Linked DNA regions of Nothobranchius furzeri. The protein of the gene in region 2 interacts with the protein of the main gene of each other region in a pairwise test. Links are inferred from orthologs where the notes say so. Each region holds a gene or a part of one and is shown on either strand. Other genes may lie near its edges.

Region 1 (4,268 bases), about 10 Mb from region 2:
ACAGTGAGTGGGCTGCAGAGGACTGGGGTAACATGAAGCTCTTTTCTGGTTGTTTAAGGCATCTGGAGAAAGGATGGTCTGCAGAAGATAAGGTGAGCACTCCCATCAGTCATCAATAAAGAAATGTACCAAAACATCCAACTGGAACTTCTTCCAACCATCCAAGAACAACCTGGTGAAGCATGATGGAGCACCGTGCCATAAAACTAAAGCGATGAAGCTAAAAACAGAAATTCCATGCTTACGTTCTTTTTTAAAAACACAGAACAGTTTTTGTTTACCTGTTTTCCCGCTACGTTTCGTCTGCGGCTGCAGACTTCCTCAGGCTGACGCTGATGGTGGCGTCACTTCCTTCTCCATTTATCCACGGGCAGCAGAGGATGTTGTCGCCCTCTGCTGCCCGCTCTCCCCTCTCCGACGATGCAGTCCCATGTGCGGTCCAACGTGTAAACCCCATCGTCTCTGTTCTTGGTCCCACATCCACGTCTCCTTATCTCGATTACTTCTTTTATCCATCTTTTGTATTTTTGTTGTTCGGTGTTAATGATCCGTGTGTTGTCCCAGTCCATTATATGGTTTTCTCTTGTGCAGTGATCTGTTACGGCTGACTTCTTTATTGTGCTTTCTGCTTCTTGTCTTGCTGCTCTTGTGTATCTTCGACTTGCCTCTTTCTCGCACTCCTTTCTATGTTCTATTGTTCTTGTGTTGAGTTGGCGTCCGGTTTCTCCTATGTATGTGTTATTGCAGAGTTTGCATGGGATTTCATAAACGACTCCACATTTAAGTCCAGCTGATATTTTGTCTTTTGGGTGTACCTGTCTGTTTCTAACTGTTGTGTATGGTTTTGTTGGTGTGTTTATGTTGTGTTTTTTCATTGTTGGTCTTACTTTTTCTGTTATGTCTTTGATGTATGGTAGGGTTACCACTGGTTTTGGTTGTTGTTTTTCTGGGTTTCTGGTTCTTTGCTTAGCTTGTTCTTTTCTTTCTGTTGTTGTTTGCTGTTTTCCTTTGTTTATCACCCATGTCGGGTATCCGCAGGTCTTTAAAGTGTGTTGTATGTGTTTGTCCTCTTGTTTACAGTCTCTTTCTTCTGTTATTATGTTTGCTCAGTGATATAATGTTCTGATTACTGACATTTTGTGTATGGTGGGGTGTTCTGATGTCCATAATAGATATTGGTCTGTGTGTGTTGGTTTCCTATATGTGTTTATATTTGGGGTCCCGTCGGTCTGCCTGGTGATTTTCATGTCCATAAATGCTATGCTGCCTTCTTTTTCTGTCTCATAAGTGAACATTATGCTGCCTGTGTCGTCAATGTTACTCAAGTGTTGTGTTAGTGTTTCGGTTTGTCCTTTTGGTATAATTTCCAGTATGTCGTCTACGTGGTGTTTCCATAGTTTTATTTAGCAGTTTGGGGGAGCAGTGGCTATGGCTTTTTGTTCTAGGTCTTCCATGAAAAACTCACACAGGGTGGCTGATAACGGGTTACCCATGGCAAAGCCTTCCTGTTGTTTGTATATTGTGTTGTCATATGTGAAGTAAGTGGAGTTAGCTACCAGTCCTATCAGTTGTGCTATGTCATCTGCTGTGAGGTTTGTTCTTTAGTGTAAAGTCTTGTCCTGTCTGACTCTGTTAACTACTATGTCAAAGGTTTTTTTGGTTGGTGTTTTTGTGAACAGGGATGTGACGTCACGTTAGATGAGTATGTCACAACGTATGACAACGTCCTCTGCTGCCCGCGGATAAACGGAGAAGTAAGTGACGCCATCATCAGCGTCAGCCTGAGGAAGTTTGCAGCCGCAAACGAAACGTAGCGGGAAAACAGGTAAACAAAACTGCTCTGTGTTTTAAAAAAGAAATACAGCATGGAATTAGAGATACGACACAGCAAGAACACACCTACAATGTTCAAATAAAAACAGAAATTTTGGGTCCATGACCAGGAAAATCCTCAGACCTTAATCCAGTTGAGAACTTGTGATCAACCCTCCAGAGGCAGGTGGACAAACAAAAACACACTAACTGTGACTAACTCCAGGCCCTGATTATGGAAGGAAAGGATCTGGTCCAGAAGCTGATTGAAAGCGTGTCAGGGCCAACTACAGAGGAAGAGCCAACACTGCAAACACCGACTCTTGAACTCTTAAACTAGATGTAATCAAAGCCTTTCAAAGTGTTAGTGATTATACTTCAATACATGACAGAAACAACTGACTAAAAGATGAAAAACACTGAAGCAGCTAACTCTGTGAAAACCACAATTCACACACACCAGAACCTTCTGCTTAACTGACTTAAATCCTCCACCATCACATCTATCTCCATGAGGATCACCACCAAGAACAGGGCCATCAGGACCACTACAGACAGCCACTCTTAATACCTTTAAATACGCATGACAGCTCAGATCACTTTGCTTTTGTTTCCTAGGGGCATAAACGAATTCCTCTATAGACTCCATGTTTTAATCTAAAGCTTTCTACAGACTACACAGATCGTGTAAATGTCTGATCTGGGTTTTTAATATGGAGACGAGTTCTAGAACCACCATCAGGAACGCATCGGTCCGAACCAGCACCATCAGGACCACTAGCACCCTGTCCACAGCAGAGGCTACACTGTGGCTTTACCCCACCAGCTCGTCTAACTGTCAGCATGGCGGAGAGCTGACACACTAACGTGTTCCTCTCTTCAACATCAGAACCCAGAACCAGAACTTACCAGCTATCTTTGTTCCACCATGTAGAGTCAACCACCGGCGCGTGATGGTGACGTTCTGCTTTGCCACGTCTGCTCTCCAGACTCCTCCTACTGACCCGCCAGTGGGAGGAGTCTGACCTGCGACTCCTTCACACGACGAAGACGGTGCCATGTTGGCCAGGTAAATTAATCAGCCCACCTACTGAATCAGCCTCACTAATTTGTTCATGTAATCTGCAAGGATAATTCAATCAAACGTTTGATCAATAACAAAGATTATTTATGGTATTTTATGTAACATCTGATTAAATGGAGGTGTAGATTTCTATTTGACATGATCGGCTTCTACTGTAAAATATAAACTGTCCCTCTATGGATATTTGGTTTGGACTAGCAAGTGTATTAAATACAACACGTTTAGTTTTGGAGAATGAGTTTCAAATAAATAAATTTAACAGGTTTTCTTACTCAGTCTAGGTTTCGAGAGACTTTAGGGTTCCAGAGAAAACAGGATATTTCTGGTTTTTTAAAGTTGCTTAAGGACAGAACAAACCGGTACAATGGGGGAAAAAAAAACACTCTTCGATATACAAAACAGATTTAATCCATGTTTCTGTGTATAATTACTCTGTTGTTGGTTTTACAGGAATATGTCATAAAGGTTACCTGTGTGGAGCAACAAGGTCAGATGATCTCACCCAATGACCCAGGAGGTCATTTTATGACTCAACATATAACCTGGTGATTGAACATTTCAGTTCACATTAAAACTTTATGTGATCGTGTCCTGAGAGAAACTGTACAGAGGAGCTCTTTTAGCGCTTCAGTTGGTCTGGAGTCTCTGACTAAAGCCCAGTTCACATTGTGCGTTTTGCAGCTATCATAGACAAATCTTTCCATGTAAATTGTATTATGACTAAAAAATAATGTCCATGAGAGTGATTTGTAAATCTATGGCCATCCAGTGTGACCGGCACACCGACAGCGATTGAGTACTCTCATGACTAAATCAAGCCTCCAATGCTCTTCAAGCATTTTCAGAAAACCTAAAACCCCTGCCTGCAATTGACAACCCCTAGCATGTCCTGTTAGCCCTCTCACTGTCCTAATGGGTGTGACCCCACGAGGAAAGCTGACCATTGAGCAGGGTGAGGAGGAGTGAGCACCCCTCACCCCTGCCATGTGGACCTAAAGGGATAAAACTTAAATCCTGCTCAATGATCAACTTTCCTCACAGGGTCTCCCATAAAGACAGTGGGAGGGTTAAAGTGAGACATCGTGCAGTTGGATTACTGTGTGAATGAGTTGAACTTACTGAAATCTTGGGCCATGTCAGTTGTTCCACCTCTGTAAAGCTGTGTGACATGAAGTAGTCATTTGCGATAGCTGAAAAACACAGTGTGATCTAGGCTTGACACAGAAACACTACATGGAAGAGGTCTTACTGACTGGACCTCAGATCTGGTTCAGACCTATTATTAACTTGCATCCTGTGTAATGGCAGTGGTGGAACAAGTAATTTATTTACTTTGCATATTTAAGTAAAAGTACAAAGGGGTACAAAATTA
Region 2 (4,363 bases):
AGACAAACGGAGCCGATTTAACCAGCCTAATAAAGGAAAGCAGATCCTCCGCATCAGCACTGATAAAGGTGGCGTTTCACACAGAAAACACTCACAGGGTTTCTCTGGAAGCAGAAGTTGCACGCCCAGATTTTAGCCCTGAAGTCCACCTGACTGGAAACAGAAAGAGAGACGTTTCATCGTCTGCTGCGATGTGGAAAAGGTGCGTCCTCATAATCCACACCCAGTACCTAAACTTCAGTATTCAAAAGAGCTAAAGTCTCGGCATCACCAGTTTTAGAAGAACTGAAAGATATAAAGATCATCTTTTTAAGGAGTTTAAAACAAGCACTTGGTGCCAAAAGACGTGTTGCATTATTTTGGAGGAAAGTTGGACCCGACAGCCGTTTTCTGCACTTCGCCTACAAAAGACTCCGTCTCCAGAACCTGTTTATTATAGATGTCACCTGAACTTACAGGAGGACCACAACAAAGACTAAAAATAGTTCCTAAACAGACATTTACAGTATGTGTGTGTATTATGGCAATGATGAATATTTGTGTCGATGTTGAGGCAGTTATACAACCATACATTATAGTTTGTTTGTGTTGTCCATTTAACGTTAACTATAAATAAAATCATTTGGGGGGAAAGCTGCAATATTCCTGCATGAAAAGCTAAATATGAAAGTAAATCTATGCTATTAATAGACACGTAAAACTCTGAGAAACTCACCACAGTGGGTTGAGCACAGCCTTGCAGGTGGCCCGGCTGCACAGAACCGGCTCATACTGAACAGGTGGCAGGTTGGGCCTCTCCTTAAGAGGCGTGAAGAGACAGGAGACGGGAACCACCAGCCTAGTGGCCTCCAGGCGGCTGGAGGGCCAAAGGTTCCAGCTGAACCTCACCCCATCTCGGTCCTCGTTTTGTTGGATGAACTCCTGGTACGTCGACATCACCGATCTTCAGCAGAGAAAAGGTTAAATAATAAATAAATAAATAAATAAAACCACAGTCCAGTTTGGAGTTTCTGTGTCCCAGATAACTGCTACGGTGCTGCGTCCCTCTTCAGGCTCTCTACTCTCTCTCTCTCCAACTAAAGCGAACATCCTCTCTTTATACATGTGAGCCGTTCACTTCAGTGGGAACGAAATACGCGGATGTCCGAAAGCCTGACGCACAAACACGCCGCCAGGAAACCCGCTCGGCTGGTTTTGGTGAGGAGGAAGAACGATGTAGAGAATTCCTAAAACAAATGAGTGGGTGTGCCGGGTGTATTTAATCGGGCTATGCTTGTGCCGGTATGTGCTCATTACACCTAAGTGACGCCTTTTGCAAAGCATCGCCAGGCAACTGCACAAACAGTTTAATCTCACTTCTGACGGGGGACACGGACCTTTTCTCCCCCTTTAAAAAAAGATGAATAAACAAAACTGAGGTGAGAAAAACTATTTATAGAATGGAATGTTTTAAATAGAATGGGAAAATGACAGCAGGAAGAAAATCAGCTGATAGTCATCTCTGATTTCCAATACCACTGAAGTTCCACGTTAGACGAGCCAAATTCTTCCTAAAAACAGATGGTTTGATCTTAAACTCCACATATTTCTGTCAAAACCTAAAAAATCTAATAAAAACATTGCATTTACACCAGGTTATGCATATATTATAACACAGAGTTCATTAAAATGTTACTGTAAACCTCATAAAGTCGGCAGCTAAAGGAAAATGACCTTTTGCCTGACACTCTGAAACTCAAAAATTTGGTTTAGTCGATTTTGTCCCTGAACACACCGTCCTAAAGCAGCAGCAAACAACATCCTCTCAGAGTTGATAGTGAAAAATACATTCTACTGAATGTAATCAATTTTTTGATCAATTAAGGCAGGATCAATTTTTTAATCAATTTCCCTCTGGGATTAGTAAAGTATTTTTGAATTGAATTTGAAATTGAATATGGGCTCAACAGTGACAGCTGCAGGTCAAAGGAAAACAAAATCAGAAAAGAGCATCTCAATTTCAAATACAATAAAAGCCCTGAAGCACAAATCAACATATCCAGAGCCCTTGGCGACTTATTTACGCTGCTTGTTAAGTTTAACCTAATATGTTACTGCACAAGCCCAAATGTCGCACTACAGAACACAGATAAACGCAGAGTTCATCAGAAAGCTGCGCTACAAAGGGTTCCTGACTGGGTTTTATAAAGACCATTTGGATTCGTTAACAGATGTTGGTCGATGCTATTGATGCTGCTGCAGAATGAAAACTGCTTTAATACCAATCCTAACCGCTGACCACTACTAACGTCATGAACAAACCTCTTATTTCTTAAAGGGGAACACAAAGGCCCCTGCTACAAGTCAGATCAAAAATCTGATGACTCTCGGGTCAACAACACAAACTAGGAGCCACGTATCAACCCCGATAAGCAGCAGTGCTGTTGGGACACGTCTCAAGTCACTCAAATGTCGCAATTCTCGTTAAATAGTATATTCCTCTTTTTAATATTCGCTAAAACATCGTAATTAATCACCCAAAGTCTCGCTTTAGCGACAAGGTAACGCCAGCGCGAGCATCGGGCTGAGTTAGCTAACGGAATGTAGCATTAACCCACTTCCTGTCCTCAAATGGAAGCTAAAAATGGGCGACCTACTTTCCCCTGAACTAAACCCAGCTCTTACCTTCTTATAAAGCGAGCTGGCTTCGGCACGAGACGGCGGCTAAAGAGACGGTTGTGTTTAGGATGAATTAGTGCATCTGAAGGTGAAACCAGACGGGCGTAAGTGGGAGGAAGACGTCGGTGAACGAGCTGCTCCCTGTCAGCCGGCTTTTCACTTTACTAGAGTGACGTGTTACTACGAGTTCAGGACTTTCCCATTGGCTCCGCCTTGCGTCACGTGACGCAAGCGTACAGTGAACGTCAGGCGGAACTAGGTGAGCGCGGACCTCTGGGAAATAGAGTTTATTGTGTTGTAAACGGCAAGGGAGCATAAAATATTCAGCCAGGGGTTTTCATCGTCTCTGTGAACAGTTTTGTACAGTTGGCCTGATAATAAGTCTGGTTTAATCTTTGTTTATTTTTATCTGCTTGTTTATTTGCTGACGGTGGTAATTGGCTTGTTGTAAATACCTGCAATAAAAGTAGAAATAGGCCTTGTCTCAAAAAGTTACAGGGTGTCTTTGATGGCTCTTAATGATAATAATAATAATAATAATAATAATAATAATAATAATAATAATAATAATACAAATGCTACTACTAATAATAATATTATTATCATAATTTGGGACTTTATGGTGTTGAAAGTGGACAGAGACTGCTTGCCAATACAGGCAAGCTAATCATGTCTTTTTCATAAAGCGTATTTATACACAGAGGAGTCTAAATGGGCTTTTCATGTGCAAAACATGTAAATTTAAAATCAGCAAAACTGTAAAAATTCACAACATAAACCGTAGCCTGGATTTAAAAATAAACTTGAGATTTCAAAAGAAAATACACTCTGCAAAGCCTTTATCAGGACACGTGTCAGTAGTTTGGATTCAGAAAAATTCAGTTGTAAATGTCAAATTCCAACAGCCATTAGTGAACGTTGATCCCAGTTATTTTCCATTTTTAACTTGATTTTCGCTGTCCGTGGTGCTGACGTCAGAGTGTCCTACAAAGACAAGCCTGTGAAATGTGGGCAAGTTGGACAACTTTTGATTTAGACAAATATTATTAAGTGTAGAATTAATTTTATTTTGCAGCTGAGTAAGACTAGTTGGAATAGGCTGACACATCTTGGCAGTCCATGACATTTTCTTTATTGTTTTATTTCCCAGAAAATATTCCAATATTCACAATGGATTCGTGGGAATGAAACATAACGTTGGGTGGCGCTGTGACAGAGCTCTTTGCTTATTGGGAGGCAAACCTCTGGAGGGAGAGAGCAGGCAGAGAGGAGGAGAGAGCGGGAGTGCTGCTTCCTCTCGGTGTGTTTCTGTTTGAGCCCAGAAGAATCTCCTCTCTGCTTCTCCTCTAAGCGCCAGCTGTGCTTCTGCTGGAGGACCCCACACTTGGATTTGGATTCAGAGTCTGGACCAGGACCACACCTTGCACCCGGCAGCACTCAGCCTCTCGTGCTCTGAGGATGATGCAGTGAGCAGAGTCCAGCATCTTCCGGTCTGCCTGTGTTGCACTCACCCCGGCATCGTCAGCTGTTGCTCTGGGAGAGAGTGGGGGGAGCAGCAAAGAGGCCAAACTATGCCACTGATTTCCAAGCGATAGCGGTTTTCCACCCTTCAGTCGGTAGGGAGCGGATGCGAGCAGCGCCCGGTAACGCACCTCCAAGTATTTCCTGCCGTTACTCGCTGCCGGAGGCGCTGTGCCAATGGAGA

What was found.
Region 1: the proteins of sec23b (region 2) and prrc1 interact in binary tests that used the Homo sapiens proteins (3 or more experiments, as listed by UniProt). The two-hybrid records come from large-scale screens. The link is inferred for Nothobranchius furzeri from reciprocal best matches to the Homo sapiens genes SEC23B and PRRC1.

What each region holds. Positions count from the first base shown.
Region 1 is NC_091746.1:34,220,466-34,224,733, reverse strand, and holds the start of prrc1 (protein PRRC1), read right to left. Parts: upstream 2,825-4,268; 5' UTR 2,722-2,824; intron 1-2,721. UniProt on the Homo sapiens protein: May act as a regulator of the protein kinase A (PKA) activity during embryonic development.
Region 2 is NC_091746.1:24,268,678-24,273,040, reverse strand, and holds the start of sec23b (protein transport protein Sec23B), read right to left. Parts: upstream 2,819-4,363; 5' UTR 2,665-2,818; intron 944-2,664; 5' UTR 937-943; coding exon 716-936; intron 154-715; coding exon 96-153; intron 1-95. Other genes in the region: ccdc85al (coiled-coil domain containing 85A, like), read left to right, coding at 4,357-4,363. UniProt on the Homo sapiens protein: Component of the coat protein complex II (COPII) which promotes the formation of transport vesicles from the endoplasmic reticulum (ER).